Linked DNA regions of Anolis sagrei. The protein of the gene in region 1 interacts with the protein of each later gene in a pairwise test. Links are inferred from orthologs where the notes say so. Each region holds a gene or a part of one and is shown in the gene's direction. Other genes may lie near its edges.

What was found.
Region 2: the proteins of KASH5 (region 1) and GALNT2 interact in binary tests that used the Homo sapiens proteins (3 or more experiments, as listed by UniProt). The two-hybrid records come from large-scale screens. The link is inferred for Anolis sagrei from reciprocal best matches to the Homo sapiens genes KASH5 and GALNT2.
Region 3: the proteins of KASH5 (region 1) and TRAF3IP3 interact in binary tests that used the Homo sapiens proteins (3 or more experiments, as listed by UniProt). The two-hybrid records come from large-scale screens. The link is inferred for Anolis sagrei from reciprocal best matches to the Homo sapiens genes KASH5 and TRAF3IP3.
Region 4: the proteins of KASH5 (region 1) and STX5 interact in binary tests that used the Homo sapiens proteins (3 or more experiments, as listed by UniProt). The two-hybrid records come from large-scale screens. The link is inferred for Anolis sagrei from reciprocal best matches to the Homo sapiens genes KASH5 and STX5.

The regions. Positions count from the first base shown.
Region 1 is NC_090026.1:22,017,427-22,024,989, reverse strand, and holds the start of KASH5 (protein KASH5), read left to right. Parts: upstream 1-4,560; coding exon 4,561-4,636; intron 4,637-6,342; coding exon 6,343-6,456; intron 6,457-7,563. UniProt on the Homo sapiens protein: As a component of the LINC (LInker of Nucleoskeleton and Cytoskeleton) complex, involved in the connection between the nuclear lamina and the cytoskeleton.
Region 2 is NC_090021.1:61,526,346-61,533,548, forward strand, and holds the start of GALNT2 (polypeptide N-acetylgalactosaminyltransferase 2), read left to right. Parts: upstream 1-4,190; 5' UTR 4,191-4,279; coding exon 4,280-4,390; intron 4,391-7,203. UniProt on the Homo sapiens protein: Catalyzes the initial reaction in O-linked oligosaccharide biosynthesis, the transfer of an N-acetyl-D-galactosamine residue to a serine or threonine residue on the protein receptor.
Region 3 is NC_090024.1:198,918,981-198,925,981, reverse strand, and holds the start of TRAF3IP3 (TRAF3-interacting JNK-activating modulator), read left to right. Parts: upstream 1-3,993; 5' UTR 3,994-4,270; intron 4,271-4,988; 5' UTR 4,989-5,170; intron 5,171-7,001. UniProt on the Homo sapiens protein: Adapter protein that plays essential roles in both innate and adaptive immunity. Plays a crucial role in the regulation of thymocyte development.
Region 4 is NC_090032.1:12,412,173-12,419,572, reverse strand, and holds the start of STX5 (syntaxin-5), read left to right. Parts: upstream 1-4,381; 5' UTR 4,382-4,515; intron 4,516-7,400. UniProt on the Homo sapiens protein: Mediates endoplasmic reticulum to Golgi transport.

The DNA.
Region 1 (7,563 bases):
TAATGTGGAGATAGAGGTGGATCCTTGGGTTGCTATAAGTTTTCCGGGCTGTATGTCCATGTTCTAGAAGCATTCTCTCCTGACGTTTCACCCACATCTATGGCAGGCATCCTTGGAGGTTGTGAGGTTTGTTGGAAACTAGACAAGTGGGGTTTATATATATCTGTGGAATAATGTCCAGGGTGGGAGAAAGAACTCTTGCCTGGGTTGTTGTAGGTTTTTCCGGGTTATATGGCCATGTTCTAGAGCAGGGGTCCTCAAACTACGGCCCGGGGGCCGAATGCGGCCCTCCAAGGTCATTTACCCGACCCTCGCTCAGGGTCAACCTAAGTCTGAAATGACTTGAAAGCACACAACAACATCAACAATCCTATCTCATCAGCCAAAAAGCAGGCCCACACCTCCCATTGAAATACTAATAATGTTATATTTGTTGAAATTGTTCTTCATTTTAATTATTGTATTGTTTTTAAGTGTCTTTTGCACTACAAATAAGATATGTGCAGTGTGCATAGGAATTCATTCATGTTTTTTTCAAATTATAGTCCGGCCCTCCAACAGTTTGAGGGACTGTGACTTGGCCCTCTGCTTAAAAAGTTTGAGGACACCTGTTCTAGAGGCATTTTCTCCTGATGTTTCGCCTGCATCTATGGCAAGCATCCTCAGAAGTAGTGAAGCTTAGCCCACTACCTCTGAGAATGCTTGCCATAGATGCAGGCGAAACGTCAGGAGAAAATGCCTGTAGAAAATGCTGGCCATATAACCTGGAAAAACCTACAACAACCCAGTGATCCCAGCCATGAAAGCCTTCGACAATACATTGAACTCTTGTCTGTTTGAGGCAAGTGTGAATATTGCAACTGGCCACCTTGATTAGCACTGAATGGCCTTGCAGCTTCAAAGCCTGGCTGCTTTCTGACTGAGGAAATCTTTTGTTGGGATGTGTTACGTGTCTGGAATTTCCCTGTTTTTTGAACATTGCTCTTTATTTACTGTCCTCATTTTAGATATTTTTAAATACTGGTAGCCATATTTTGTCCATTTTCATAGTTGTGGATCATGTTTCACAGACTCTTTTCCAATAAAAACTTGTGCTAATTTTGAAAAAAAAGGTATAATGTAGATGTAGCATGACCAAGAAGAAAGGGAGCAGAAATATGGTATTTAAAGGCATAAACCAGGCAAAAAGACTAGGGGGAGATTGCCATGGATAGCCTTGCATAATAATAATAATAATAATAATAATAATAATAATAATAATAATAATAATATATTTATACCCCCGCTACCATCTCCCCAAGGGACTCGGTGCGGCTTACATGAGGCCAAGCCCACAGTACATCAGCAAACAAAGGCAATAACAAAAACAATCAATACAAAACAGTTAATATAAATTACATAAACAAAAAATTAGGCAGCAAAATGTCTAGATGATGGAGAAAACATTATGAGAGCTTATGCATAGGGATCTTGTAGCATTTAGAGACTGGGGCCCTTTCCAATATGACTTGGCCACGGTAGTACACGCTTTGGTTACATCCTGCTTAGATTACTGCAACGCTCTCTACGTGGGGTTGCCTCTGAAGACTGCCCGGAAGCTGCAGCAAGTACAATGCGCAGCAGCCAGATTACTAACGGGTGCGGGGTACAGGGAGCACACCACTCCGCTGTTACTCGAACTCCACTGGCTGCCGATTAGCTTCCGAGCACAATTCAAAGTGCTGGTGTTAACCTATAAAGCCCTAAACGACTCCGGCCCTGTTTACCTCTCTGAACGTATTCTCCCCTACGAACCATCAAGACCACTAAGATCATCCGGAGGGGCTCTGCTCTCGGTCCCTCCGCCTGCACAAGCACGGCTGGTGGCGACGAGGGACAGGGCCTTCTCGGTGGTGGCCCCTTGACTTTGGAACTCCCTGCCATTAGAGATCAGAACTGCCCCCTCCCTCATGACATTCAAGAAACTAACAAAGACCTGGTTGTGGAACACGGCATTTGACAACTGATTTAATTCTTTGCCCACATGAAAGGAGGATGATGAATGGGATTGTGATGGTGTCAGACGATTTGGCTCTTTTAACTGGGATGATAATGTTTTAATGTGTATGGTGCTGATATTTTAATCATGTAATTAAGTGGCATTGTGTTGTTATTGTATATTTTTTGTATGTTAACACATGTTGTGAACCGGTCCGAATCCCTCTTTGAAGGTGAGAGGGTCGGTATATAAAAACTCGAAATAAATAAATAATAAATTCTATACTGCCATATAACCTACATATAATCTATATAATCTGTTTGAACTTGATTATATGAGTCTACACTGCCATATAATCCCGTTCAAAACAGATAATCTGGTTTTTACATGGCAGTGTAGAAGGGGCCTTATTCTTCCCGCCCTTTTAGGAGTGTCTCCTTCTTCCCTCAGCAAGGCCCTCTCAGTTTAGTCAGGGAAGGAGGCATTTTCACTCTGAATTCCCCTCAAAAGGTGGAAGGGCTTTTCAGTCCACTTTGCTTTTGGTCGAAGAGGCTGTTTTGTTTGTTTGTTTAATGGCTGAGGAGATTTCAGTGAGGGAAGAAATAATTTTCAGGGGTTGCCTTTGAAATATAGCTTGGCCTCCCCTCAGTTGCGCAAGGAGTAACAAGATGGCTCCTTGAAGAAGGTTGAAAGGCATGGGGAAGGGGCCCATTTTAATGGGAACTCTGCCTTCGTCAGGCACGGGCAAACTTCGGCCTTCCTCCAGGTGTTTTGGACTTCAACTCCCACAATACCTAACAGCCGGTAGGCTGTTAGGTATTGTGGGAGTTGAAGTCCAAAACACCTGGAGGAAGGCCAAAGTTTGCCCATGCCTGTTTCAAACACTCTCTGAAGTGACTATATCACAGGCAGGCATAATTGAGGTTTTTGAAGCCTTTATCTGGCAATATGTCATGCTGGCCACCTGACCTTGGAGGTGTCTATGGACAACGCGGGCTCTTCGGCTTAGAAATGGAGATGAGCACCACACCCCAGAGTCAGACATGACTGGACTTAATGTCAGGGGACAACCTTTACCTATGTCATTTATTTTGAGGGGAAGTGAAATGCTGAAAAGGGGATTGAAGTCTTCTTTTTTTAAAAATCTATTTTATTAAGGTTAGAAAGGGAGGGAAAGTAGAGGGATATTTTTTTTTCTATGCATGTAAAGTGGAGGAATAATAATGCTATAGGAAAGTAGGGCAAAAAAGAGAAAGAAGGAGAAAAAAATCATATAATAATAATAATAATAATAAAATAATAGTAATAAAAAAACTATCGAAAAATTCAACCAACAGCAGAATTTTTTTTAAAAAATTGATTGTTGACTTAGTCTTTTGAGGGTTCATCTTTCTCTTTAATTATATACTTTCCGTTAAGGGTACAGTTTAGTAACGATGTATTGTTGAAGGCTTTCATGGCCGGAATCACTGGGTTGTTGTAGGTTTTTTCGGGCTATATGGCCATGGTCTAGAGGCATTCTCTCCTGACGTTTTGCCTGCATCTGTGGCAAGCATCCTCACTACCTCTGGAAGAGACCTCGTGGGCCATCCAGTCCAACCTCTTGCCAAGAAGCAGGAAAATTGCATTCAAAGCACCTCCGACAGATGGCCATCCAGCCTCTGTTTGTAGTTTATTCGTTCAGTCGCTTCTGACTCTTTGTGACCTAATGGACCAGCCCACACCAGAGCTCCTTGTTGACTGTCACTACCCCCATCTCTTTCAGAGTCAAGCCAGTCACTTGACTCTGTTTAAAAGCCTCCAAAGAAGGAGCCTCCACCACACTCCGGGGGCAGAGAGTTCCACTTCTGAACAGCTCTCACAGTCAGGAAGTTCTTCCTAATGTTCAGGTGGAATCTCCTTTCCTGTAGTTTGAAGCCATTGTTCTGCATCCTAGTCTCCAGGGCAGCAGAAAACAAGCTTTCTCCCTCCTCCCTATGACTTCCCCTCACATATTTATACATGGCCATCATGTCTCCTCTCAGCCTTCCCATCTGCAGGCTAATCATGCCCAGTTCTTTAAGCCGTTCCTCATAGGGCTTATACTCAACATTCTGATCCTTTTAGTTGCCTTCCTCTGGACACATTCCAGCTTGTCAACATCTCCCTTCAATTGTGGTGCCCAGAATTGGACACAGTATTCCAGGTGTGGTCTGACCAAGGCAAAATAGAGGGGTAGCAAGACTTCCCTAGATCTAGGCACTATACTCCTATTTATGCAGGCCAAAATCTCATTGGTTTGCATAAATAAGAGTATAGTGTTTCAATCCAGGGACAGCTTTAAGCAATTTAGTGTACAGATTTTTGAACTGATGGCATTGTCATACCTATATTTTTGAGGTAATTCAACCAGGTGTTTTATTACGGTACTTTCAAAACCTGGCAAACAATTCTCCCGAAAAGTCTCTTGTTTTGTGAAGGCTGGAACCAAGTTCCTGGTTTGCTGGCTGCGCTTAAATAAAACACATTCTTTCTTTTTTTGAAGGAAAAGAATATTTCTGTGGAATAAATAAAGCTCTGACTGAAAAGGCACTTATCTGGTGATGGAGGATATTATTTACCACAAGTCTTTTGAAAATGCAGCAGTAGCACAGTTAACTGCAGTCTTATCAACAGAAGGTAAATATTAGTTGTTCCTGAAAAATTCAATCTTGTAATTGTTTATTATTTTATTGGTGTTGGATCTTAGAACCATCCTGTCATCCACGTTAATTTGAAAAAAAGTAATTCCTATTTAACAGTACAGTTTTGGTTTCAAAGCTATGGGCTGCTGTTGTTTCCTAATTTTGATGTTTGTGCCACTTACCCTAAACGACATTAACTCAGGCCATTCATAGTGACTCCAGTAAAAATGGATGCAAGTCTGAACCACATTTCTCAAATCAATGTTTAGATTATCTAAATATTGTTTTTCCCCCTATATGTTCCAAGCGTACCTGATTTCTAGAGCTACAGAGAGATCATGGCACAGTAGACTGGCATGCAACACACTTACTCTCCCTTGTTTTGACCCAAAATCCCAAATGATTATTTTACAAACTTGGGCTAGTATGCAAAGTGCTTTATTACCAATGTGTGTGTGTGTATAAGAGGGAGCGAGCGCTTAGGTTGACATATAAATGAATAACAAATACATAGATTGTGGGCCTTTGTGGGCTGGTCAATGAAAAACCTTGGGGCTGAGTGTTCTTTCCAGTTCTTGTCCAACTCTAGATAAAGCTTGCTTTTTATTGTTGTAATATCTCTTTTTTATTTATCGTATCAGAAGCAAATGAAGGGTATAGTTGTAATGTATTTAAAACCACAAAGTTTAAAAATTTGCCATTCTATTAAATGTCCTTTGACCAGTAGCTGGCCACTTGGAGTGCCTCTGGAGTTACTATAAGAAGGTCCTCCATTGTGTATGTTGCAAGGCTCAGGCTGCATTGTAATGGGTGTTCTGTGGTTTGCCCTTCTCCACACTCACATGTGGTGGACTCCACTTTGTGGCCCCATTTCTTAAGGTTGGCTCTGCATCTCGTGGTGCCAGAGCGCAGTCTGTTAAGAATCTTCCAAGTCGCCTAGTCTTCTGTGTGCCGGGAGGAGTCTCATTCGGTATCAGCCATGGCTTGAGGTTCCAGGTTTTTGCCTGCCACTTGCCTGCCACTGTAATATCTCTAATATGAATACAAATGCTTTCTCTAGTTTCAGTCATTCTCCATTTTAGTTCAGTTCTGTGCCACAAAATAGGCGACACCTGTGTGGCAGTCATTGGTCTGATGTCACTGATCTACTTTACTATGATTTCCAATTTAGTTTGTAACTCAATCCCTAGTAGAAATTATTGTAATGTTGCATTGGTGCAGTTCTTCATCTAGTTCTGTGGAGTGTGAGTCATGCAAATTGTACATCAAATACTTTTCAGTTGGATGCTTTATCCGCTCTTCACATTTGGTTTTATGACAAATTAGGGTATTCTGAGAGAGAGAGAAAAATAGAGTTACTGTACATGCTGCTTCATACATACTCATCTGGCTTTTAAGCCATTAAGTTGCTCAGCAATTTTTGTTTGAATGAAGAAACCCTATTTGAGATGCAAGCACTTTGAGTAGATATGAGACATACCATTTCAGTAAAAAGAATGGACAGTGGGGAATTATGAATGGGAGAGATGAAGAAAAGGCCTAATATTGGATTTTGAGTACAGAGAAATGGGCTGTAATGTGGACAAATGGCAAGTCATTATGTCTTTTTAGTCAAGTGAGCTTATTTTAGATCTTTGTGGGTATAATGGTTTGCAGATTATCCAGGCTTAGAGGAAAAAAACTAATTTATGTGTTTCTTAGCAGTACCATGGGACAACTCTGGTGTTAGCAACAAAAACATCCTGAATGCAGACCACTGCTCTGAAGAAAATGTTCTGAAATGCACATTCAAGGCCTGTGATTCTGAACAAACAGGTACAAACCATTTCAGTAGTAGCTGGAAACAGTCAGCAAATCCAATGTTACTTTACTGGGGAAAAATTGTAGGAGAAAGACGTGTCTTTTCTCAATTTTTTATTGTTTTTATTGACTTGGAATTACAAACAAAATACAGCAATTGCCATACATAATGGAAATTACCAAGCAAGAGGATATTCAACCTAGTTACTTCAAAATAGGATTGACTCTCTGTTCTCTTTTTATTGCAAGGGAATTCCTCTTTCAGTCTCAGGACCCTATCACACTTTAACTGCCATGGTAATATCATATACGATCCTGGGTTTTCCACTTTAGGTAGGAGCATTTAGAATTCTCCGACAAAAAAACTCTTGGCCCTCATTAAACTACAAGCCACAGAATATTTTAATGGCAGGTAAAGTGGAATAATAATGCTAATAGTGTGATGTGATAGGGCTCCAAGTAGAATGTTTCTTTTTGGTTAACAGCTTGTTTTGGAATGTGTCTCCCTGACTGGAATGAGGAAACCTTTTGTTGCTTACCTGTTGTATGCTTTATGGAGGGAAAAGTGTGGCTTCAAGGAGCAGCACTACTCTTGCCTAGTTTATTTATTTATTTAAAACATTTATATTCCACCCTTCTCACCCCAAAGGGAACTCAGGGCGGAGCACAGCATATATACGGCAAACATTCAAGAATTCATATACGCATGCATAAACATTAAAAACATTTATCGCAAGATTAAAATACACCATTTAAAACCGTCTTGGTCATCTGTGTCAAATCTAATTGGCCTGGTAATCTTTCCTATTGCTGCTTCTAGTGAGGAAGTAAAATGTGTCATCCAAGAAACCTCTTTGTCAAAAAGGGATTGGGAAGCAGCTCTTCTAAAAGGAAGAATTTGAAATGACATAGATGGATTTTAATTGAAGTATACACAGAAAAAAGTAATAATCAGGATAAAACTGGGAGGACATGGGACACAATGTATTGCTTTTAAAAAAGACATTTAAGAACAGACTTCTGTTTCCTATCTCCAGTCCTTCAGGTTTCAGATTGTTCAGCAGCCTTTTTTTTCTTGAAACAAAGAACTAGAATCTTGTTTTAAAAGATAAATTATCATCT
Region 2 (7,203 bases), on another chromosome or scaffold:
TGGAAAACTGGAAAACAAGGATATCAGGAGGAGAGGCTGACTACCCACAAAAGGTTACTACTACCACATCAGCTCTAGATTATTAAATAGGGTTTTCTGTGGGTGAGCAGATAGGGACTACTAGACAGCATATGCTCTGTATCAGAAACTAGAGCTGATGTGGTCTATCCAATGCAATTTTCTGAATCAGCATCCCAAATAACCAAACTGAATGAAAAGTTGATCAAAAACTCCAAAATGTTGGAGTGTAGTCCCTGGTCAAAGTGGTCCCTGTTCAAGTCGTGTCTGGTAAAAAAAGAAAAGAAAAGATTAGATAGGGAGAGAGGGGGAGTGAATATATATAGTGTGGAATGGATATGTGTTGTTAGTTTATTTTTTGGAGTGCAAGACAGGAGTGGATTAAAACATGAAAAAGGACCAAGTCTATTGTTTATTTCAGAATTATTAAACTGCATTAAATGTGGATGCTGAGTTACCTTAAACATGACAACAAAATTAAGGAGCCATTTTGTAAAATATTATCCAAGAGAAGGAAGAAATGTTCTCCAGACTCCATGGAGCTCAGCAAACTGGGAAGGCAATGGGGTTATTTTGCACAGGTATGGTGAAAATGCCAGCATTATGTGAACTTGGGTTTGTTGAATTAAACATCTTCAGTTGGAGAGTCCTTGGGAGATTTTGTTGGGCTAAGGCTGGATAAAGTCAAAACAGGTTGGGAACCACTGATCTAGTTGAACATAGATGTAGGGAAAGGTGGGGTTTGTTTATATTGTTGTGTGTGTCATTATTGTTGTTATTATTTTATAATTTTTGGGTAAATGTGTATACTTGGTAGTTTAAAATTGATATGTAAGTTAATTAAAAAACCAGAAACACGGGGCAATGACATAATAATAATAATAATAATTTTATTTATTACCTGCTTCTCTTGATGGTTTGAGGCAGGGTACAGTACAACAAAGTCAAAAACATATGAACATATAATATGTACAATAAATACTTCGATTAAAACACAAAAATATTTTTAAAAACTTGCATCAAACACAGATACAGAATTGACATAAAGTAGCAACAAAATGCAAATCAAATAACTAGCCTACATATGCCTATTGAGGTTTGTAGACCAAACTTGGCCAGCTAGTTTTACTTTTATTATACAGTCTTTTTATACCCACAGATTTGCAGAGAAGTGTATATGGGAAAATCATGCCAGAAAACTTTTAAGAAATCATACTACACACCATTTTCATGATGTTAATTCACTGCCAAAGCTTTGAAAAATTCCACCTGTCCAACCAAGTTTGGAAAGCCAGTGTGGTCATTTGAGCATGCTGGTTGCTAGATTGTGCAAATTGTAATTATTATTTTTTTTAAAACCAGAACATTTTCTAAGCTTTACTCGCTGTTTTGGAGGGAAGAGCTATTATTTATTTATGGTGTAAGGCAGTGGTTCTCAATCTGTGGGTCCCCAGGTGTTTTGGCCTACAACTCCTAGGGAAGTTCCAACTTCCATAGGGAAGCTGATGAGGAAACACAACATACAAACAATCTACAAACCCACCAAGAAAATCCAACAAATGCTACGTTCAGCAAAGGACAAGAGGGATCCTCTCACCTCTGCAGGAGTCTACCGTATACCATGCAGCTGTGGACAAGTCTACATAGGGACCACCAAACGCAGCGCCCAGACACGCATCAAGGAACATGAAAGGCACTGCAGACTCCTTCAACCAGAGAAGTCAGCCATAGCAGAGCACCTGATGAACCAGCCTGGACACAGCATATTATTTGAGAACACAGAAATGCTGGACCACACCAACAACCACCATGTCAGACTACACAGAGAAGCCATTGAAATCCACAAGCATGTGGACAATTTCAACAGAAAGGAAGAGACCATGAAAATGAACAAAATCTGGCTACCAGTATTAAAAAACTCTAAAATTATAACAGCTAAACAACAGAGAGGAAAAAACCAGGCACAGATTAACACCTCCCAGCAACAGATTTTCCCAGGCTCAGGCAGGCCTTCAAATGCTAATGAAGGTGATCAGCTAAACATTCACACCTAACTGCAGCAGGGAAGAGCTCCTTGCCCCACCCCAGCCATTCCACAGATATATAAACCCATTTTTCCTACTTCCAACAGACCTCACAACCTCTGAGGATGCTTGCCATAGATGCAGGCGAAACGTCAGGAGAAATGCCTCTAGAACATGGCTCTATAGCCCGAAAAAACCCACAAGAACCTAACTCCTAGAAATCCCAGCCAGTTTACCAGCTGTTAGGATTTCTGGGAGTTGAAGGCCAAAACATCTGGGGACCCATAGGTTGAGAACCACTGGCGTAAGGGAAGGAATCCCTGTTGCTTTTGCAGTGTGTGAAGTTGTTGTTGTTCATTCGTTTCTGACTTCGTGACTTCATGGACCACGCTAGAGCTCCCTGTCAGCCGTCACCACCCCCAGCTCCTTCAAGGTCAATCCAGTCACTTCAAGGATACCATCCATCCATCTTGCCCTTGGTCACTCCCTCTTCCTTTTCCCCAGCATAATTGTCTTTTCTAAGCTTTCCTTTCTTCTCATGATGTGGCCACAGTACTTCATCTCGGCCTCTAGTATTCTTCCCTCCAACGAGAAGTCAGGCTTTATTTCTTGAAGTATGGACTGGTTGGATCTTCTCGCTGTCCAAGACACTCTCAGAACTTTCCTCTAGCACCACAGTTCAAAAGCATCTTCCTTCACTCAGCCTTCCCTATGGTCCAGCTCTCACATCCGTAGGTGACTGTGTGTGAGGTATGTGTGTGAGGTAGGTAACACTATATCACACTAGAGAAAAAATCCACTTCAAATCCAGTTTCTACCTCCTGCAGAATTCTGGCGTTTGTAGTTTAGAGAGGAGCCTTTAACAGCATTATTTTATTATTATTATTATTTGCATTTGTTAACCGCCACTCTCAGCCCGAAGGCGACTCATAGAATCATAGAATCAAAGAGTTGGAAGAGACCTCATGGGCCATCCAGTCCAACTATAATATCTTCTCTCAGCCAAGAAGGAGGAACATTGCATTCAAAGCACCCGACAGATGGCCATCCAGCCTCCCTTTAAACGCCTGGAAAGAAGGAGCCTCCGCCACACTCCGGGGCAGAGAGTTCCACTGCTGAACAGCTCTCACAGTCAGGAAGTTCTTCCTCATGTTCAGATGGAATCTCCTCTCTTGTAGTTTGAAGCCATTGTTCCGCATCCTAGTCTCCAAGGAAGCAGAAAACAAGCTTGCTCCCTCCTCCCTGTGGCTTCCTCTCACATATTTATACATGGCTATAATATCTTTTCTCAGCCTTCTCTTCTGCAGGCAAAACATGCCCAGCTCCTTAAACTATTAAACTACAAACCCCAGAATTCTGCAGGAGGTAGAAACTGGATTTTAAGTTGATTTTTTCTCTAGTGTGATGAGGGCAGAAGTGAGATGTTTGATAATAACTATGCTTAAATAAGTTACTGCAAAATCAAATGTTTGTTATTATTATTATTATTATTATTATTATTTCCTATTTTATCACCACTCCACTTGCTGACTGAGGTATGTAAAAGTCTTTTGAAATCCACTCTAATAATGAAATACATCAAAAAACAAAACTCTACAGGACTAGAGCTGCCGAAAGTGCAGCCTGAACGCCAGCTCTTCCTCCTCCAGTGAGACATACCTTTCCCACGCCTGGCATGAAGAAAGGAGAGGCCTTCCAACCTCCCGCTCCACACGCCTTTACTTCGAGGCAAGTCCCTTCTGCGGAGCTTCTCCCCGGGGGAAGGCCAGGCTCGTACGGGAACGACATCTCATGTCCCGCGGAGAGGGTTCTATGGGACGGGAAGCCTGGGAAGGTAGGCCCCTGAGGCTGGAAGTCCCCTGAGGCTGGAAGGCAGGGCGCCGGCCTCGGCTGCCACCCGGGCTCCCAGCTCTCGGAAGAGGCCTAGCTGTGGTTGAAGCGGCGCTAAAGGACCGAGAGGCATGAAAGGAAGAGGGACCCCAGGAGGCCCCGCGTGCTGCAACCATGGCGACGGCGCGGCTGAGCTCCGCCCCGCGCGGCGCTTGGCGGCCGGCGATTGGCCAGAGGGTGGGCGCGCGCCCTCTGCCCCTTGACCCTTGTGCGGCGGCGGCGGAGGGGGAGGAGGAAGGCGGGCAGGAGGGCGGGCGGTGGAGGCGGCAGCGGCATCGCCTGCCGCCCCTTTCCTGCTGGCCTGGCGGCGGCTGGTGCCGCGGCTGCAGCACTGGGCGGGCGGGAGGATGCGGCGCAAGTCTCGGCTGCTGCTCTGCTTCGCCTTCCTCTGGGTGCTCGGCATCGCCTACTACATGTACTCCGGGGGCAGCGCCGCCCTCGCCGGCGGAGGAAGGAAGGTGAGGAGCAGGAGGGGGGGGGGGGCGCGGCTTCCCTTCGCCCTCAGCCGGGGAGAAGCCTCGCTGGACCTTCTCCTCACGGCTCCCCCGTTTGCCTGCCTGCCTGCCTTCCTTCCTGCCGAGGCTCCTTCTTTTCCCTCAGGCTCCTCGCCCATTCCTCTCCCTCTCCCTCCTTCGCCTTTCTCCTGTCATGGAGGACTCCCTTCCCTTTCCTCTCTTCCTTCCTTCCTTCCTCTCTCTCTTCTTTCCTTCCTTCCTCGGCTTCCTCAGTCTCCTCGCTGCTGCTTCTTCCATTTCCTCTTTCCATCCTGCCTCCTTCCTTTTTTCCTTCCTTCCTTCCTGCCAAGGCTCTTTCAAGTACCTCAGGCTCCTCGCCTCTTTCGCCTTTCATGGAGGATTTCCTTCCCTTTCCTCCTTTTCCTCTCTTATTTCTTTTCTCCTTCCATGCTGCCTCCTTCCTTCCGTCCTTTCCCCCCTTCCTTCCTGCCGAGGCTCTCAGGCTCCTTGCCTCTTCCTCTTTCGCCTTTCATGGAGGATTTCCTTCCCTTTTCTTCTTTCCTTCCTCTCTTCCTTGGCTTCCTCAGTCTCCTCGCTGCTTCCTCTTCCCTTCCTTCCATGCTGCCTCCTTCCTTCCTTCCTTCCTTCCTTTTTGCATTCCTTCCTTCCGAGGCTCTTTCGTTTACCTCAGGCTCCTCGCTCCTTCCTCTTTCTCCTTCCATGGAAGACTCCCTTTCCTCACTTCCTTCCTTGGCTCCTTCAGGCTCCCCGCTGCTTCCTTTTCTCTTTCCTTCTTCTATGTTGCCTCCTTCCTTCCTGTTATCCTTCCTTTCGAGGCTCTTTCGTTTACCTCAGGCTCCTCACCCCTTCCTTCCTCAGTTCCTTCAGTCTGCTGGCTGCTTCCTTTGCCCTTTCCTCCCTCCATGCTGCCTCCCTTCTTCCTTCCGGCTTTCCTTCCTTCCTGCCGAGGCTCTTTCCTTTACCTCAGACTCCTCACTCCTTCGCCTTTCTCCTTCCATGGATGACTCCCTTTCCTCCTTTTCCTCTCTTCCTTGGTTCCTTCAGTCTCCTTGCTGCTTCCTCTTCCCTTTCCTCCCTCCATGCTGCCTCTTCCTACCTTCGTAGGCTCTTTCCTTAAGTCAGACTCACTCCTTTCGCCTTTCTCCTTCCATGGAGGACTCCCTTCCCTTTCCTCCTTTCCCTCTCTTCCTCCCTCCCTCTCTTCCTCGGTTCCTTCAGTCTCCTCGCTGCTTCCTCTTCCCTTTTCCCTTTCCTCCCTCCATGCTGCCTCTCCCTCCCATCCTCCTTTCCTTCCTGCCGAGGCTCTTTCCTTAAGTCAGATTCACTCCTTTCTCCTTCCATGGAGGACTCCCTTCCCTTTCCCTCTCTTCCTTCCTTCCTCGGTTCCTTCAGTCTCCTCGCTGCTTCCTCTTCCCTTTCCTCCTTCCATGCTGTCTCCCCCCCCCCCTTCCTTCCTGTCGGAGGCGTGAGGGGATGTCCTCTTTGGGGAAACTGGGGCGCCTCGTGACTGCTTCTTCTTCGGTGGGAACAGGGTCCCCGTGAATGTGTATGCGTGTGTATTGAGGAAATGGGCGCCACGAGGAGCTCCTTCCCGGCTGAAACCCAGCCAGGCTGTTGCGCCTTCTTCGCCTTGGGCGAACCAGGTCTTCCTCTCTCCCTCCCTCCCTCGCGGGGAGGAAGTGCTGCGTACTGCTTCCATGTTTGAAATACCCGAAAGGAGGTCTCTGTGAGGAAGGGGCCGGCTTGTGCTCTGCTGCCTCTGGATCACTCCTGGGCAAACTTGGGCCCTCCCTCCAGGCGTTTTGGACTTCAGCTCCCACCATTCCTAACAGCCTCAGGCCCCTTCCTTTCTCTCCTCAGCCGCTTAAGGGAGGGCCCAAGTTTGCTCATGCCTGCTCTGGACAATGTGGAGGAGTTAAAAGGCAGGGAAACATATTTTACCTAACCCTTTGGAAGAACTTCCTCGTGTGATAGAAGCTCCGTAGTGTGATAGAAGCTCCTCCTCTAGAGGTTTTTTTTTTTTAAGCCGGATGACCCTCTCTTCAGAGAGCTTTCATTGTGTGGCAGAATGGGGTTGGACTGGTTGGCCCAGGTAGTCTCTTCTATGACTTGCCAAGATTTATGATTCCTTGTCGAAGGCTTTCATGGCTGGAATCACTGGGTTGCTGGGAGTTTTCCAGGTTTGATGGCCATGTTCCAGAAGCATTCTCTCCTGATGTTTTGCCCACATCTATGGCAGGCATCCTCAGAGGTGGAGGGGTCTTTTAGAAACTAGGCAAGTGTGGTTTACATATCTGTAGAATGTCCAGCGTGGAGAAAAGAATTCTTGTCTTTTTGAGGCAGGTGTGAATGTTGCAAAAAGTAGGGGAACTCCAGACAAGAATCAATGAGGGCCAGCTAACATCTCCCAACAAAGGATTCCCCAGGCAGCAACCAGCCAGGCTTTGAAACTGCAAGGCCATTAAATGCTAATCAAGATGGCCAAATTGCAACATTCACACCTGCCTCAATCAGACCAGAGTTTTTCCCCCCACCCTGGACATTTTACAGATATATAAACCCCACTTGCCTAGTTTCCAACAGATCCCTCAACCTTTGAGAATGCCTGGCATAGATGTCGATGAAATGCCAGGAGAGAATGCTTCCGGAACATGGCTATACAGTCCGGAAAACTCACAGAAACCCATCATTAGAGTTCTCCTTCCCTTCGAAGCATGGTGCCAAGGTTCATATCTTGCCATATTCTGTGCTCACCTCCTCCTTAGGTGTTCCTTACTCCATCCCTGCATGTAGGA
Region 3 (7,001 bases), on another chromosome or scaffold:
TCCACGCTCTGGTTACATCCCGTTTAGACTATTGTAACGCTCTCTACGTGGGGTTGCCTTTGAAGACAGCTCGGAAGCTCCAACTAGTCCAACGCTCAGCAGCCATGATTTTAACAGGAGCGGAGCGCAGGGAGCATACAACCCCCCTGTTGTGCCAACTCCACTGGCTACCGATCTGCTACCAGGCTCAATTCAAAGTGCTGGTGTTGGCCTTTAAAGCCCTAAACGGTTCCGGCCCAAGCTACCTATCCGACCGCATCTCTGCCTATGAACCTACCAGGACTTTGAGATCTTCCGGGGAGGCCCTGCTCTCGATCCCACCTGCTTCTCAAGCACGGCTGGCGGGGACGAGAGATAGGGCCTTCTCGGTGGTGGCTCCTTGGCTGTGGAACGCCCTTCCTACGGACATTAGACTAGCACCATCTCTAATGGTATTCCGCAAAAAAGTGAAGACCTGGCTGTTTGAGCAGGCGTTCGAATAATTAGTGCAATGATTGGTTAATGAACACTGGAATGGAACAATGGATGACGAATCTGGAACATGTTTTTGATGACGAGATGACAGTGAATGGGTATGTAGTAACTGTTTATTAATTGTGTAATGTGTTAGGTTGTTAACTGTTTTTATAGTGTAGCACTGAATTTTTGCTGTTCGTATTTGTTGTGAACCGCTGTGAGTCGCCTTCGGGCTGAGAACAGGGGTATATAAGTAAGGTAAATAAATAATAAATAAATAAAACAAAGACCACAGGGGTGCTAACCCTTCCCTATGCTCTCCAAAGCTTAAAAATGTATGTGTTTGGCTTGTTTCACTTTAAAAAGTACCTCTTCCGACTTACATGCAAATACAACTTAAGGACAAACCTACAAAACCTATCCTGTGCATAACTTGGGAACTGCATTTACAGATTGAACATACCTTATCTGAAATGCTTGGGTACAAAACGTTTTGGATTTTGAATTTATTTAGATTTTGAAAATCCTGTATTTGCATATGTGTATATGATTAGATACCTTATGTTTCATATACACCCTGATACACATAGTCTGAAGCTAATTTTATATTTTTAAATAATTTTGTTCATGAAACAAATTTTGTCTACACTGAACAAAGATTTCAGATTTCAGAATGCTGGATAAAGGATGCTTTATTTATATATCTATGCACTGGACTCAGCTGAAGTCTGGTGCACACACATATAATTATATATAATACATCCCTTATTATAATGAGTTTCTAGTTAAAGATCACTGAAACTAACATTTTCAACTTTCTATTTGAAAGTATAAATCAAAACTCAAATATGAGTCAGCTATAATGAAATGGGTTTTAAATATTTTTATTTTAAATGTATTTTAGCAGATTTTTTTTGTATTTTATGATGTTTTTAGTTGTTATTTTGTTATTAAGTTTATTAGGTTGTGTTATATTGTCAAATGCGTTTATTTTGATGTAATTGTCTGTATGGTTTCTTTCATCATCATCATCATCATCATTTAATAACTTATTAATCGCCCTCCATCCGAGAATGCTCTAGGCGATTTACAGCTAAATTATAAAAGATAAAATACATGCATACAAAAATTAAAAATTAACAGAGATCGAATGCTCTAGTAAAAAGCCAGGTCTTAAGTGCGAGAGTAAAAGGCCCTAAGTCACGCATGGCTCTCTCATGTAGGGCAGCAAGGAATTCCACAAGGCAGGGGCAGAAACAGAAAAAGCCCTGCGTCTGGTCCTTTCCAAGTGCACTTCTCTAGGACGCGGTATATGGAGTAAGTCACGTTGGGCTGGTCGTTGCGTCCTCCGATGATGGGAGAAGGAGAGGCGGTCCCTAAGGTACGATGGACCCTGGCCGTAAAGAGTTTTAAAGGTCAGAACTAGCATCATATACAGGCCACGGTACTCAGTTGGAAGCCAATGTAAATGTTGCAGCACTGGTGTTATATGGCATTTCATGGGCGTTCTTGTGAGTAACCTTGCTGCCGCATTCTGAACAATACGAAGCTTTCGGGTCGTAGACATCGGAAGGCCCACATACAGGGCGTTGCAATAGTCCAGCCTAGACGTGACTGTAGCATGGATGACAGTTGTCAGAGCCTCGTCAGCTAGGTAGGGTGCCAGTTGCCTCGCTTGTCGTAGATGGAAAAAGGCCTGTTTGCTGGCAGCAGCGACCTGAGCTTCCATTGTCAGCTGTGAATCCAGGATGACACCTAAGCTCTTAACAGTGGTCGATGGAGATAGGGCGGCACCATCGAAGGTGGGTAATGGAGGAGTCAGGCCTGCCGGGCGGCCATGCCAGAGAATCTCAGTCTTCGCTGGGTTCACCTTCGGCAATTGCATGTTTGCCTTACACGACAGAAACTCCCCCGAGTCTCTTTGGAGAGATAGAAAGGCACACAAATAACATTTATTATTATTATTTAAAAAGTGAAGTCCTCACAAAATTTTAAAAATAACTTGTATGATAAGATTCATTGTTGTCTCAAATTGTAATCATATTAATTCAAATATGTTAAAATAAGCAATTGCTGTGATAAAAAACAATGCTTCCAAAGAAGAAAAATGTAGTAGTGGAAAGAAAAAAAGGAAAATACAGGCCACAGGTTATTTATGGGCCCTGCTTCCCCTTTTGTAATGTGTGAACATGAGGGCTCTCACATTTTAGACAGGGTGCATTCAGCAGACAGATACAAATAGTGATACATTTTACCAATCTGTGTAATTTCCTCGATACCATTAATAATTTTAGCAAGAGTATGACATATTTACACAACACTCTATAATGTTCAGAGCACACACATTATTGCTATCACATGGTGTATAGCACTATCTACACGGGGTAGGCCAATTTTTATTATTCTATGCCTTTAGGTCTCTCCTAATTTCTGGTGAGCCCTTATTGCTGTTGCTAACTGTCACCAAATGGACTTCCATGTATGGTGACTATGAATGAGAGACTGCCAAGTCATTCTATCATCAATTGACCTGCTCTAGTCTTGCAGACTCAGCCTTGTGGAGTATACCTTTGGGTTTTCTTGGTAAGATTAATTCAGAGCAGGCTAAGAAATTGTGATTTGCCCAAGGTTATACAATGGGAATCCATATCTGACTAAAAATTTGAACCTTCATCGTCCTGGTTTAAACCACTTCACCACACTGGCTCTTAATGTAGATGTAGAGGAGACAAAGGCAGGACTGGGACATACTTGTGTAAGAATACCTAATGAATTTTAGGGTGCATCTGGGATCATAGAATCATAGCATTGGAAAAGACCACATGGGCCATATAGTCCAATTCCCTGCCAGGCAGTGAAAGCAACAGATGGCCACCCAGTCTCTATTTAAAAGCCTCCAAGGAAGGAGCTTCCAAAATACCAAGAGGCAGAGAGCTTCACTGTTGAACAGCACTCACAGTCAGGAATTATTCCTAATGTTCAAGTGGAATCTCCTTTCCTATAATCGACACTGTCAAATTAATGCAGTTTGATCCATTTTGATTGCTATGGCCCAGTGTTGTGGATTTATGGGAGTTGTAGATTTTGCTTTCTCTGTCAAAGAGTTCTGGTGCCTCACCAAACTGCAGATCCCAAGATTCCATAGCACTGAGCCATGGCAGTCAAAGTTAAGTCAAACTGCATTAATTTGGCAGTGTAGGTGCACCTTAGATGCCACACTCATTAAAGACATCAAACTTCAAAGCTGGCAAAGTTACAACTGTTTACATGCATGCATGCTACAATGTTCAAAAATGAATACAAGTTATTTTCTACTCAAGGCAGAAAGTTCTTCTTCCCATAAGTATCACACTTCAATATGGTCCCAGTGTGCCAACCACAATTTCACGGCGTGATACTGAGGTTCAAGGTGCCAGGGCTGATAACGTGAAGCCTGCAAAGAGATATTTCTGGAGTCTCAGTGATAACGGTGGACATGTCGACCACTCGACTACAGCGGGTTCGAGTGACCACAACATTAACCTGCTTACAAAGTTCTGGGTTTCCTGTCACTCCCTTGTCATATCAGAGCATGACAGAATGAAAGGGGGAAGAGAGGAACTAACCAAGCTGAAGTGTTGCAGCTCAGAGCATTTCCTGTTCTTTAGTGAGGGGCGGGGGGAATAACCCAAAGCAGCAAAGTGAATCCGTCCGAATGAAGATGTTACAGCATGTTAGTACTTGATAACTAAACAGGCATCTTTTCATTTGTGCTTCAGCAACAGCAGAGCTGAACTTCTGAGAGCTCACCCAGACCTGCCACGGAAAAGGCAAGGTAAGAACTTCAATTGTTAGTAGCAGCCTTCCATTTTAATTCTCAGTCTACAGGAAGCAAACACAGCCTTAAAAAGGAACCTTTTCTCCAAGCCATTATCCATATTGACAATGTGGTGCTGGAAGATGAACGGGAAATATTTCCACCGCTTAAACTGGGCAGCACAACAGTGCCGAATGATTAATGGCATTTGCATTTATCCGAGACACATATATTGGCCCAAGAGAGAAGGAAACCCCATAATATAATAATAAGGCCTCATCACTTTGCCCAAATGTGCTCATTAAATTGAGCAAATATTTCTCATTTTTCTTGCTCGAGATGAGTTTCAGATATTTCAAGCAGCTGCTTAATACAGAAACTCTGAAAGGAATACTGCTGGCTTAATAGAAAGCTGGTGGCTTGTCTGTGAAAAAAGTGCTTATGGGTTTATTTATTTATTATTTAAAACATTTATATTTTGCCCCTCACACCCCGAAGGGGACTCAGGGCAGAGCACAACATATATACGGCAAACATTCAATGCTGGAACATAAAATAAATTATAAATATATATAAACACTAAAATCAATTATCTCCACTTTAAAATAAATTGTTTTAAACCATCTCGGATCAGCCATACCGGATCCGATCAGCAGGGTAAAGTTTCCTATTGTTACCTTATTGTACTGTCCCAAAGGCTTGGTCCCACAGTCAAGTTTTTATCATCTTTCTGAAGGACAGGAGGAAGGAGACTGATCTAACCAGTGAGGAAGTTCGCTAGCAGAGGGGCAATCACTGAGAAGGCCCTCTCTCTCATCCCCACCAATAGAGCCTGTGACGGTGGTGAGACCAAGAGCATTGGGTCCTGGAAGATCTTAATCTCTGCAGTGGTTCATAGAGAGAGATGCAGTTGGACAGGTAAACTGGGCTGGGGCCGTTTATGGCTTTATAGGCCAAAGCCAGCACTTTGAATTGTGCTCGGTAGCAACCAGTGGAGCTGATACAACATGGGAGTTGTGTGCTCCCTGTATGCCATCCCAGTTATTAACCTGGCTGCCTCTTGTTGGACTATTGGAAGCTTCTGAACAGTCTTCAAAGACAACCCCACATATAGTGTGTTGCAGTAGTCTATCCTAGACGTCACGAGAGCATGGACCATAATAATGTTATGTTATTAGTAAGCAAGTAATTCAGATGCCAAGGACAGTGGGAGAAGAGACTACAACCACCTCTGCATAATCATTACTTAGTATTAAACATTGGTTGTTTTTCTATTATAAAAATATAGTTTTTTCAACATTAAGGAAAAAGCAATAGCCTTTCAGCAACTACTCAAGCAAAACTCTGGAGTGGGTAATATGACTGAGATATATATGACCTACACAGTCAGGGTAGTAATTTTAATTGTTCTGTAGCAACCAAATACATATGATACACAACCTGACTGATTTGTTCAGTTAATAACTACTGACATTTTCATAACACATAGTAATGGGGTCACTTGCCATAACTGGAGGAGGAAAAAGGTGGGTTCCAGTGTGATTAAGCTCCATCTGGCACGTATATTAAAATGCATGGGAGGAAGCAATTGCACAGGGATTCCCTTAAAACACAAAAGCAAATAAATAAAATAATTAAATAATTAAATAAATAAATAAATAGGTACCACAAATATTCAATTACAATACAAAACCAGATATATAGTATAGGACATCTTAAAGGTTGGTAATTAAAGATGGGACACTGGTAGAGAGTATGTATGCTTATCTCCTCCAACTTTTCTGTAAGATTGGTAGGAAACTTCCAACTCTAACTTCAAGTTGAAATCACCTCTTACTGGGCAATATTTCACTTTGGTCTGTTCTATGAATGGAGTAGAACACAGAAGTAAGCAATGTGCTGATCTCCAAATGTTGTTGGGCTGCAATTCCTGGAAGCTTCTACTCACCATTGCCAATGATGAGAAATATTTGGAATTGCAGCTCAGTTCAACAATTTTGGAGAACCAATCCTTCCACACAACCTGTTTCAGAATCCTCAATTTGTAGAGTGGGATGTACCATTTCAGGCTGTGCAATGGGGTTGTTTTTTTTTATGAGTCTTCTCAATTAACCCCTTTTATGCAAATGTATGAACAAACTACTTTGTCAGTGAGAAAGGCCCAATCCATTGCTTGTAGTTCCAGTTCTGATTTACAGAAAATCAGAGTGTTGTTTTTCCTAAAAGCATAAGAGGACATTCACCTCTAGTGTGAAATGGTACATTCCACCTCAACATCACAGAGTCAACCATTGCTATTTTGCTATAAAGGGTTCTTGCTTGGCCGTGAAAAGTCAGAGGATGCTGGCTTCATTTGGCAGAACTTCAGCACCCTGAGCTGTGAGTTTTAATCTAGAGTAAAGAAGGGAAGAAATTATTCTGAACTTGTTTGGAATTAGTTTAGAAATCGGTCTAAATTGCAAATTATTTTGCTTAAGAGTCTCTAAGGGCAGCATTGCAGGGATGCTAAATTGAAATGTAGGAACAGGACTCAGTCCATAGTTGGGAGAGGGAAGTTCTGCCAGAATCCTCCAATGGGATTTTTCAATATATTTCTCCACCCCATAGATTCAAACTAGACAAATTGTAGTTAGTTTTTTTTTTTTTAAAAAAAGGATTTTATAGTAAACACATTAAAATGGAAATCCAGATTGGATGCAAAACTGTTCATGTCTGTAGTTATGAACCCATTATAAAATTGGAAAGTATA
Region 4 (7,400 bases), on another chromosome or scaffold:
GTCCATGCTCTTTTTACATCCCACTTAGATTACTGCAATGCACTCTATGTGGGGTTGCCTTTAAAGACGCCCTGGAAGCTTCAGCTAGTCCAACGGGCAGGGGTCAGACTTCTAACGGGAGCGGTGTACAGGGAACATACAACTCCTCAGCAGTCAGCTCCACTGGCTGCTGATATGCTACAGAGCCCAATTTAAAGTGCTGGTCTTGGCCTATAAAGCCCTAAACGGTTCTGGTTCAACTTATCTGTCCAAATGCTTCTCCTCTTATGAGCGTATTAGAATTTTAAGATCTTCTGCTCTCGGTCCCACCTTCTTTGCAATCACGACTGGTGGGGACGAGAGACAGGCCTTCTCCATGGTGGCCCCTCGGCTGTGTAACTCTCTCCCCAGCAACATCAGACATGTCCCATCCCTTCTGGGTTTTAGGAAAAAGCTGAAGAGTTGGCTGTGCGCACAACCATTCAAAGAATACGTTTCTATGGTTTTGACATGATCTGGATTAAGGATTATGAGCAGGGTTATGGAACTATGCACTTTATGTGCTTTTTAAATTTGTAAATTGATACATTTTATTGTTGCTTACTGTTTAATGTTTATTGATATATTTTATTATTGCTAACTGTTTAATTTTTATTGTTAGTACTGTTTTTTACCGACAGTGAATTTTGCTGGAATTGTAAGCTGCCTGGAGTCCCTTCGGATGAGAAAGGCGGGGTAGAAATAAAGCAAATAAATGAATGAATGAATGAATAGTGGCTCTTTATTTACATTTCATTAATTGCAGTAACACTTACTCGTTAGCACAGTCAGATGCAAGGGAGAAGAGCAGAGAAATAATAAAATGGTGTCTGCTCTATTTATACACTGCTATCAGCTCATTAATTCAGTGTCCAGCCTCCTAGTCTATTATGAAGCTTGTCTGTCCCACACATGCTTCATAACTTAACTCTCACAGCTAGCAGCATGGACATTTTAAACTTGTACAATATATAGACATTACACTGATACGATCTTCTCGCGGTCCAAGGCACTCTCAGAATTTTTCTCGAACACCACAGCTCAAAAAGCATCTCTCTTCCTTTGCTCAGCCTTCCTTACAGTCCAGCTCTTGCATCCATAGCTTACTATGGGGAATATCATTGCTTTAACTAGGCAGATCTTTGTTGCCCGTGTGATGTCTCAACTCTTCACTATTTCATCGAGATTGGTCCTTGCTCTCCTCCCAAGAAGGAAACGTCTTCTGATTTCCTGTCTGCAGTCCACATCTGCAGTCATCTTCATATCTACACATACAAAGTCTGTCACTGCCTCTATGTTTTCTCCCTCTATTTGCCAGTTATCCATCAGTCCGGTTGCCATCATCTTGGTTTTTTTTATGTTTAACTGCAACCCAGCATTTGCACTTTCTTCTTTCACCTTGGTTATAAGGCTCCTCAGCTGCTTCTTGCTTTCAGCCATCAAAGTGGTATCATCTGCATATCTAAGGTTATCAATGTTTCTTCCAGCCATTTTAACTCCAGCCTGGGTTCGTCAAGTCCCACACGTCGCATGATGTGTTCTGCATACAAGTTGAATAGGGAGGGTGAGAGTAGACAGCCCTGCCGTACGCCTTTCCCAATCTTGAACCAATCTGTTGTTCTGTGTTCTGTTCTTACTGTTGCTACTTGGTCCTTATACAGATTCCTCAGGAGAGAGACAAGGTGACTTGGTATGCCCAGACCACCAAGAACTTGCCACAATTTATTATGATCCACACAGTTAAAGACTTTAGAATCATCAGTAAAACAGAAATAGATGTTTATCTCAAACTCCCTGCCTTCCTCCATTATCCAGTGGATATTGGCAATTTGGTCTCTCGTACATAGAATCATAGAATCAAAGAGTTGGAAGAGACCTCATGGGCCATCCAGTCCAACCCCCTGCCAAGAAGCAGGAATATTGCATTCAAATCACCCCTGACAAATGGCCATCCAGCCTCTGCTTAAAAGCTTCCAAAGAAGGAGCCTCCACCACACTCCGGGGCAGAGAGTTCCACTGCTGAACGGCTCTCCCAGTCAGGAAGTTCTTCCTAATGTTCAGATGGAATCTCCTCTCTTGTAGTTTGAAGCCATTGTTCCGCGTCCTAGTCTCCAAGGAAGCAGAAAACAAACTTGCTCCCTCCTCTCTGTGGCTTCCTTTCACATATTTATACATGGCTATCATATCTCCTCTCAGCCTTCTCTTCTTCAGGCTAAACATGCCCAGTTCCCTAAGCCGCTCCTCATAGGGCTTGTTCTCCAGACCCTTGATCATTTTAGTCGCCCTCCTCTGGACACATTCCAGCTTGTCAATATCTCTCTTGAATTGTGGTGCCCAGAATTGGACACAATATTCCAGATGTGGTCTAACCAAAGCAGAATAGAGGGGTAGCATTACTTCCTTAGATCTAGACACTATGCTCCTATTGATGCAGGCCAAAATCCCATTGGCGTTTTTTGCCGCCACATCACATTGTTGGGTCATGTTTAACTTGTTGTCCACGAGGACTCCAAGATCTTTTTCACACGTACTGCTCTCGAGCCAGGCGTCCCCCATTCTGTATCTTTGCATTTCATTTTTTTTGCCAAAGTGGAGTATCTTGCATTTGTCACTGTTGAACTTCAACAGTTTTGAACTTAGTTTTGGCCCATCTCTCTAATCTGTCAAGATCGTTTTGAATTCTGCTCCTGTCCTCTGGACTATTGGTTATCCCTCCCAATTTGGTGTCGTCTGCAAACTTGATGATCATGCCTTCTAGCCCTTCATCTAAGTCATTAATAAAGATGTTGAACAGGACCGGGCCCAGGACGGAACCCTGCGGCACTCCACTTGTCACTTCTTTCCAGATGAAGAGGAAGCATTAGTGAGCACTCTCTGTGTTCGTCCACTTAACCAATTACAGATCCACCTCACCGTAGTTTTGCCTAGCCCACATTGGACTAGTTTCCTTGCCAGAAGGTCATGAGGGACCTTGTCGAAGGCCGTACTGAAATCCAGGTACGCTACATCCACGGCATTCCCCGCATCTACCCAGCTTGTAGCTCTATCGAAGAAAGAGATCAGATTGACTAATGGCAAGATCAGATTACATCTGGCAACTCCCTCTCCATGTATTGCTGGAGTCTACCTTGCAGAATCTTGAGCATTACCTTACTGGCATGTGAAATAAACGCCACTGTACAAAAGTTTGAGCATCTTATAGCGTTTCCCTTTTTTGGTATGGGGATATAAGTTGATTTTTCCAATCTGATGGCCATTCTTGTGTTTTCCATATTTGCTGGCATATGGCATGAATCACCTTGGACCTTGATAACTACAGACTAGTGTCCAACGTTTCTTTTTTGGGCAAGGTGATTGAGAAGGCAGTTGCCTTCCAACTCCAGGCGGTCTTGGATGCTACACACTTCCTCGACTCATTTCAAACCAGCTTCAGAGCAGGATACAGAGTTGAGACTGCTATTGTTGTACTGGATCTCCATCTCAACACCAACGGGAGTGTGTCCCTGTTGGTGCTTCTAGACTGCTCAGCGGCCTTCAGTACCGTGGTATTGGGGAAACCTTTCTGGAATGCCTATGGGGAAGGCTGGGAATTGGAGACATTGGTTCTGGATTCTGGATGGTGGCACTTGGGAATAGCTGCTCCTTGAAAAGGGAGCTGTTACGTGGTGTCCCACAAGGTGCCATTCTATCCTCATAGCAGCCACTGGGAGGGATCTGTAGGTATGGATGCAGTGTTACAGGTATGCTGATTACACCCAAATATTTCTTCATGCCTTCTAAATCAGCTTCAGCTAAGGATAGCATGTTTCCTTTGAAAGAATGCCTGGATGGATCTGGACCAAACTCGGCACGATTACTCAATATGCCCAGATGCGAACACTGGTGGAGTTTGGGGAAAGTAGCATCTTGACATTTGGGAGTTGTAGTTGCTGGGATTTATAGTTCACCTACAATCACAGAGCATTCTGAATTCTACCAACAATAGAATTGGGCCAAACCTCCCACACAGAACCCTCATGATCACCAGACTGGGCCACAGCAACGCCTGGCAGGAGACGGCTAGTGGATAATAAAATGGTGATGATGGGGTCTCTGTAGATTTTTAATCTGAAGCTGTCAGGGGGGCTCTGGCGGTGTCTTCCTGCCTGGCGCACTGAGGCCTTCCGCCTGAGTTTGAGGCTCGATTCCAGAAACCCTTGGCAACCGGAAATCTCTTCCCAAGCGAGGCTTGTTTACATCCCCCCGCAGGATCCTTCCCTTCCGCTTCCTCCTTGTTGCCAGGCAACTTCCTCCCGTTTTTTGGGTCTAATGAGGCGAGTGGCGTGACGTATGCAGTGGGGCGGGGACTCTCGACGTCGTGCGTGTGACGCGGCAGCCTGAGGGAGTACGTGGCAGTGACGTCCGCTTGTTTGGCCTTTCGGTTCCGGGGGAAGGCGGCCGGTGTCGGAGGCTCGGGAGTCCGGCGGCGTCTCGGTGGGATTTGGGCCTGTGGGGCCGGTGAGTCGCGGGCGGGAGGGAGGGAGAGCGGGGAGGCGCTTCTCGGCGAGGCCTCTCCTTGCGAGGTAGGCCTCTCTCTCTGGAGGCCGCTTTCCCCTACGGATGGTGCCCCACAGATGGGTTCCTAGAGTGGGAAGGGGCCCCCAAAGCCACCTAGCCCGAGCCCCTTCTGCCAGGCAAGAAGGCACCTTCAAAGCCTCCTGACAGATGGCCCTCCAATCCAGCCTCTGTTCCAAAAAATCCAGAAAAGGGGGAGCTGAACGTGTGGGGCCAAAAATCACAGAACCCTAGAATCTGAAGGCAGCCCAGAGGCCATGAAAGCCAACCCTCTTCTCCCCATTCAATCCCTCCTGACACAGAACCACATGGTGTCACAGAATCCTAGAATTGGACGGGATCCCAACCTGCTTCTGCCAGGCATCACCATCCAAGCCCTCCCAACAGACTGTTTAAAAATTCCAAAGGAAAGAAGGGGACAGAGAAAGAGTTAAACATGTACTGACATTGTGCTTAAAATTGTAGAATATTGGGAGTTGTATTTATTTATTTATTTATTTACTTTATTTGTATACCACTCTTCTCAGCCCTTGGGCGACTCAGAGCGGTTTACAACAGTTTAGGTATACAGGATACAAAATCTTTATGCATTTAAAATACAGAAGCATCACAAGTCATTAACATCATTAACATAGGCATCAAAACATCAATACATCAATATAACAAATCCATCTGGTCTAGTCGGTGAAATCAGAATCCAAAACCCATTGTCCGTTATTCCATGTTCCAATAATCAGTTAATCAATCACACTGCTTAGTCAAATGCCTGTTCAAACATCCAGGTCTTTACTTTCCAACAAGGAATGCCAGCAAGGAAGGGGCCAATCTAATACCTGCAGGAAGGGCGTTCCACAGCCGAGTGGGCCACCACGGAGAAGGCCCTGTCTCTCGTCCCCGCCAGGCGTGCTTGTGAGGCCGGCGGGATCGAGAGCAGGGCCTCCCCAGACGATCTTAATGTCCTAACTGGTTCATAGGAGGAGATGCGTTCGGACAGGTAGGTCGGGCCAGAACCGTTTAGGGCTTTAAAGGCTAAAGCCAGCACTTTGAATTGTGCCCGGTAGCAAATTGGCAGCCAGTGGAGCTTGCGCAACAGAGGAGTGGTATGCTCCTGTTAGCAACCTGGCTGCTGATCGTTGGACCATTTGAAGCTTCCGAGCAGTCTTCAGAAGCAACCCCACGTAGAGAGCGTTGTAAGGGAATCCAGGGGCTATCTAATCCCACCCTTTTCTGCCAGGCTTCTCTGGCAGAAGGGTTATCTGTCAGGAGGGATTTAATGGTGTCTACACTATCAGATGCTTCCTAATAGATAACCATTCAACCTCATAGGCCTAGAGGTTGAAGGGACCTCAAGGGCCATCCAGGCAGGGGTGTCCAGTCAAAGCCCTCCAACAGATGACCAAAATTTATTTATTTATTTATTATTTGAACATATGCCGCCACTCCCCTGGGGCTCGGAGCGGCTTACAAGAATAGCTAAAATCTAACAAAATTTAAAAGCAATTTAAAAACAATTTAAAAACAACAATATCAAACATTAAAAGCCTGTCGAAACAGGTATGTCTTACATGCCCTGCGGAAAGCTGGTAAGTCCCGCAAGGCACGGACTTCAGGTGGCAGAGTATTCCAGAGTGATGGGGCCACTGCTGTGAAGGCTCTGCGTCTGGTTGCTGTTAGACGCAAGGTCTTGACACTGGGAATTTCCAATAGATCTTGGTCCTCAGAACGGAGGGATCTCTGGGGTTGGTAGGGGGTGAGGCGGTCCCTCAGATACATCGGCCCCAGACCATGCAAGGCCTTAAAGGTGAGTACCATCACTTTGAAAGTGATCCGGTGCTCAATTGGTAACCAATGCAGCTGCAGTAAGATTGGTGTTATGTGACATCTCATCGGAATTCCCGCAAGAAGCCGAGCAGCTGCATTTTGTACCAACTTGAGTTTCCGGATCACCGACAGAGGAAGACCAATGTAGAGGGTGTTACAGTAGTCCAGTCTTGAGATGACAGTGGCCTGGATCACCATAGCTAGGTCGTCCCTGGACAGGGAGGGGGCCAGCCGTCTAGCCTGCCGCAGGTGAAAGAAGGCGGTTCTGCTAACAGCAGAGACCTGGGCCTCCATCGTCAGCAGACGGTCCAAAAGGACTCCCAGTCTCTTGACCAATGATGACGGGTGTTGCGCCTCGCCATCCAGGGGCTTTTATATCTTGTCCTTTCTCAACCTCTGCAGAGGGACTCAGGATGGTTAACAAAGTGGCACCCCATGGTGCCCACATCAAAACATAAATATACAATTAACAGTAATGTAATAATAACAATATAAAACCGTATAAACAATATAAAAACAATATGAAAAGAGACAACAAATACTCAGCAGTCACTGATTTAAATCATTATCCAAGGGCAGTCCATCGGTTCTAAATCAGTCAACACATCAGTAGGTCAGCGTATTCTCCAAAGGCCCATAGCCAGGATTTTACTTGTTTCCGGAAGATCAAGAGGGATGCAACAGATCTAATTTCATTTGGGAGGGAGTTCCACAGCCAGGGGGGCACCACAGAAAACGCCCTGTCCCTTGTCCCCGCCAGACGCGATTGTGACAATGGGGGGACAATGAGCAGGGTCTCCCCAGATGATCTTAGGGCCCGAGGTGGATCATAGTGGGAGATACGTTCGGACAGGTAAACTGGGCCATCCAGCATTTGCTTAAAAACCTCCGGTAAAGGTGATTCTAAGGCAGCACATTGCACTGTGAAATGGCTCTTACCACCAGGAAGTTCTTCCTAATGGACATGGATTTTTCCTCTGCAGTTTCAACCCATTGCTCCATTGTGT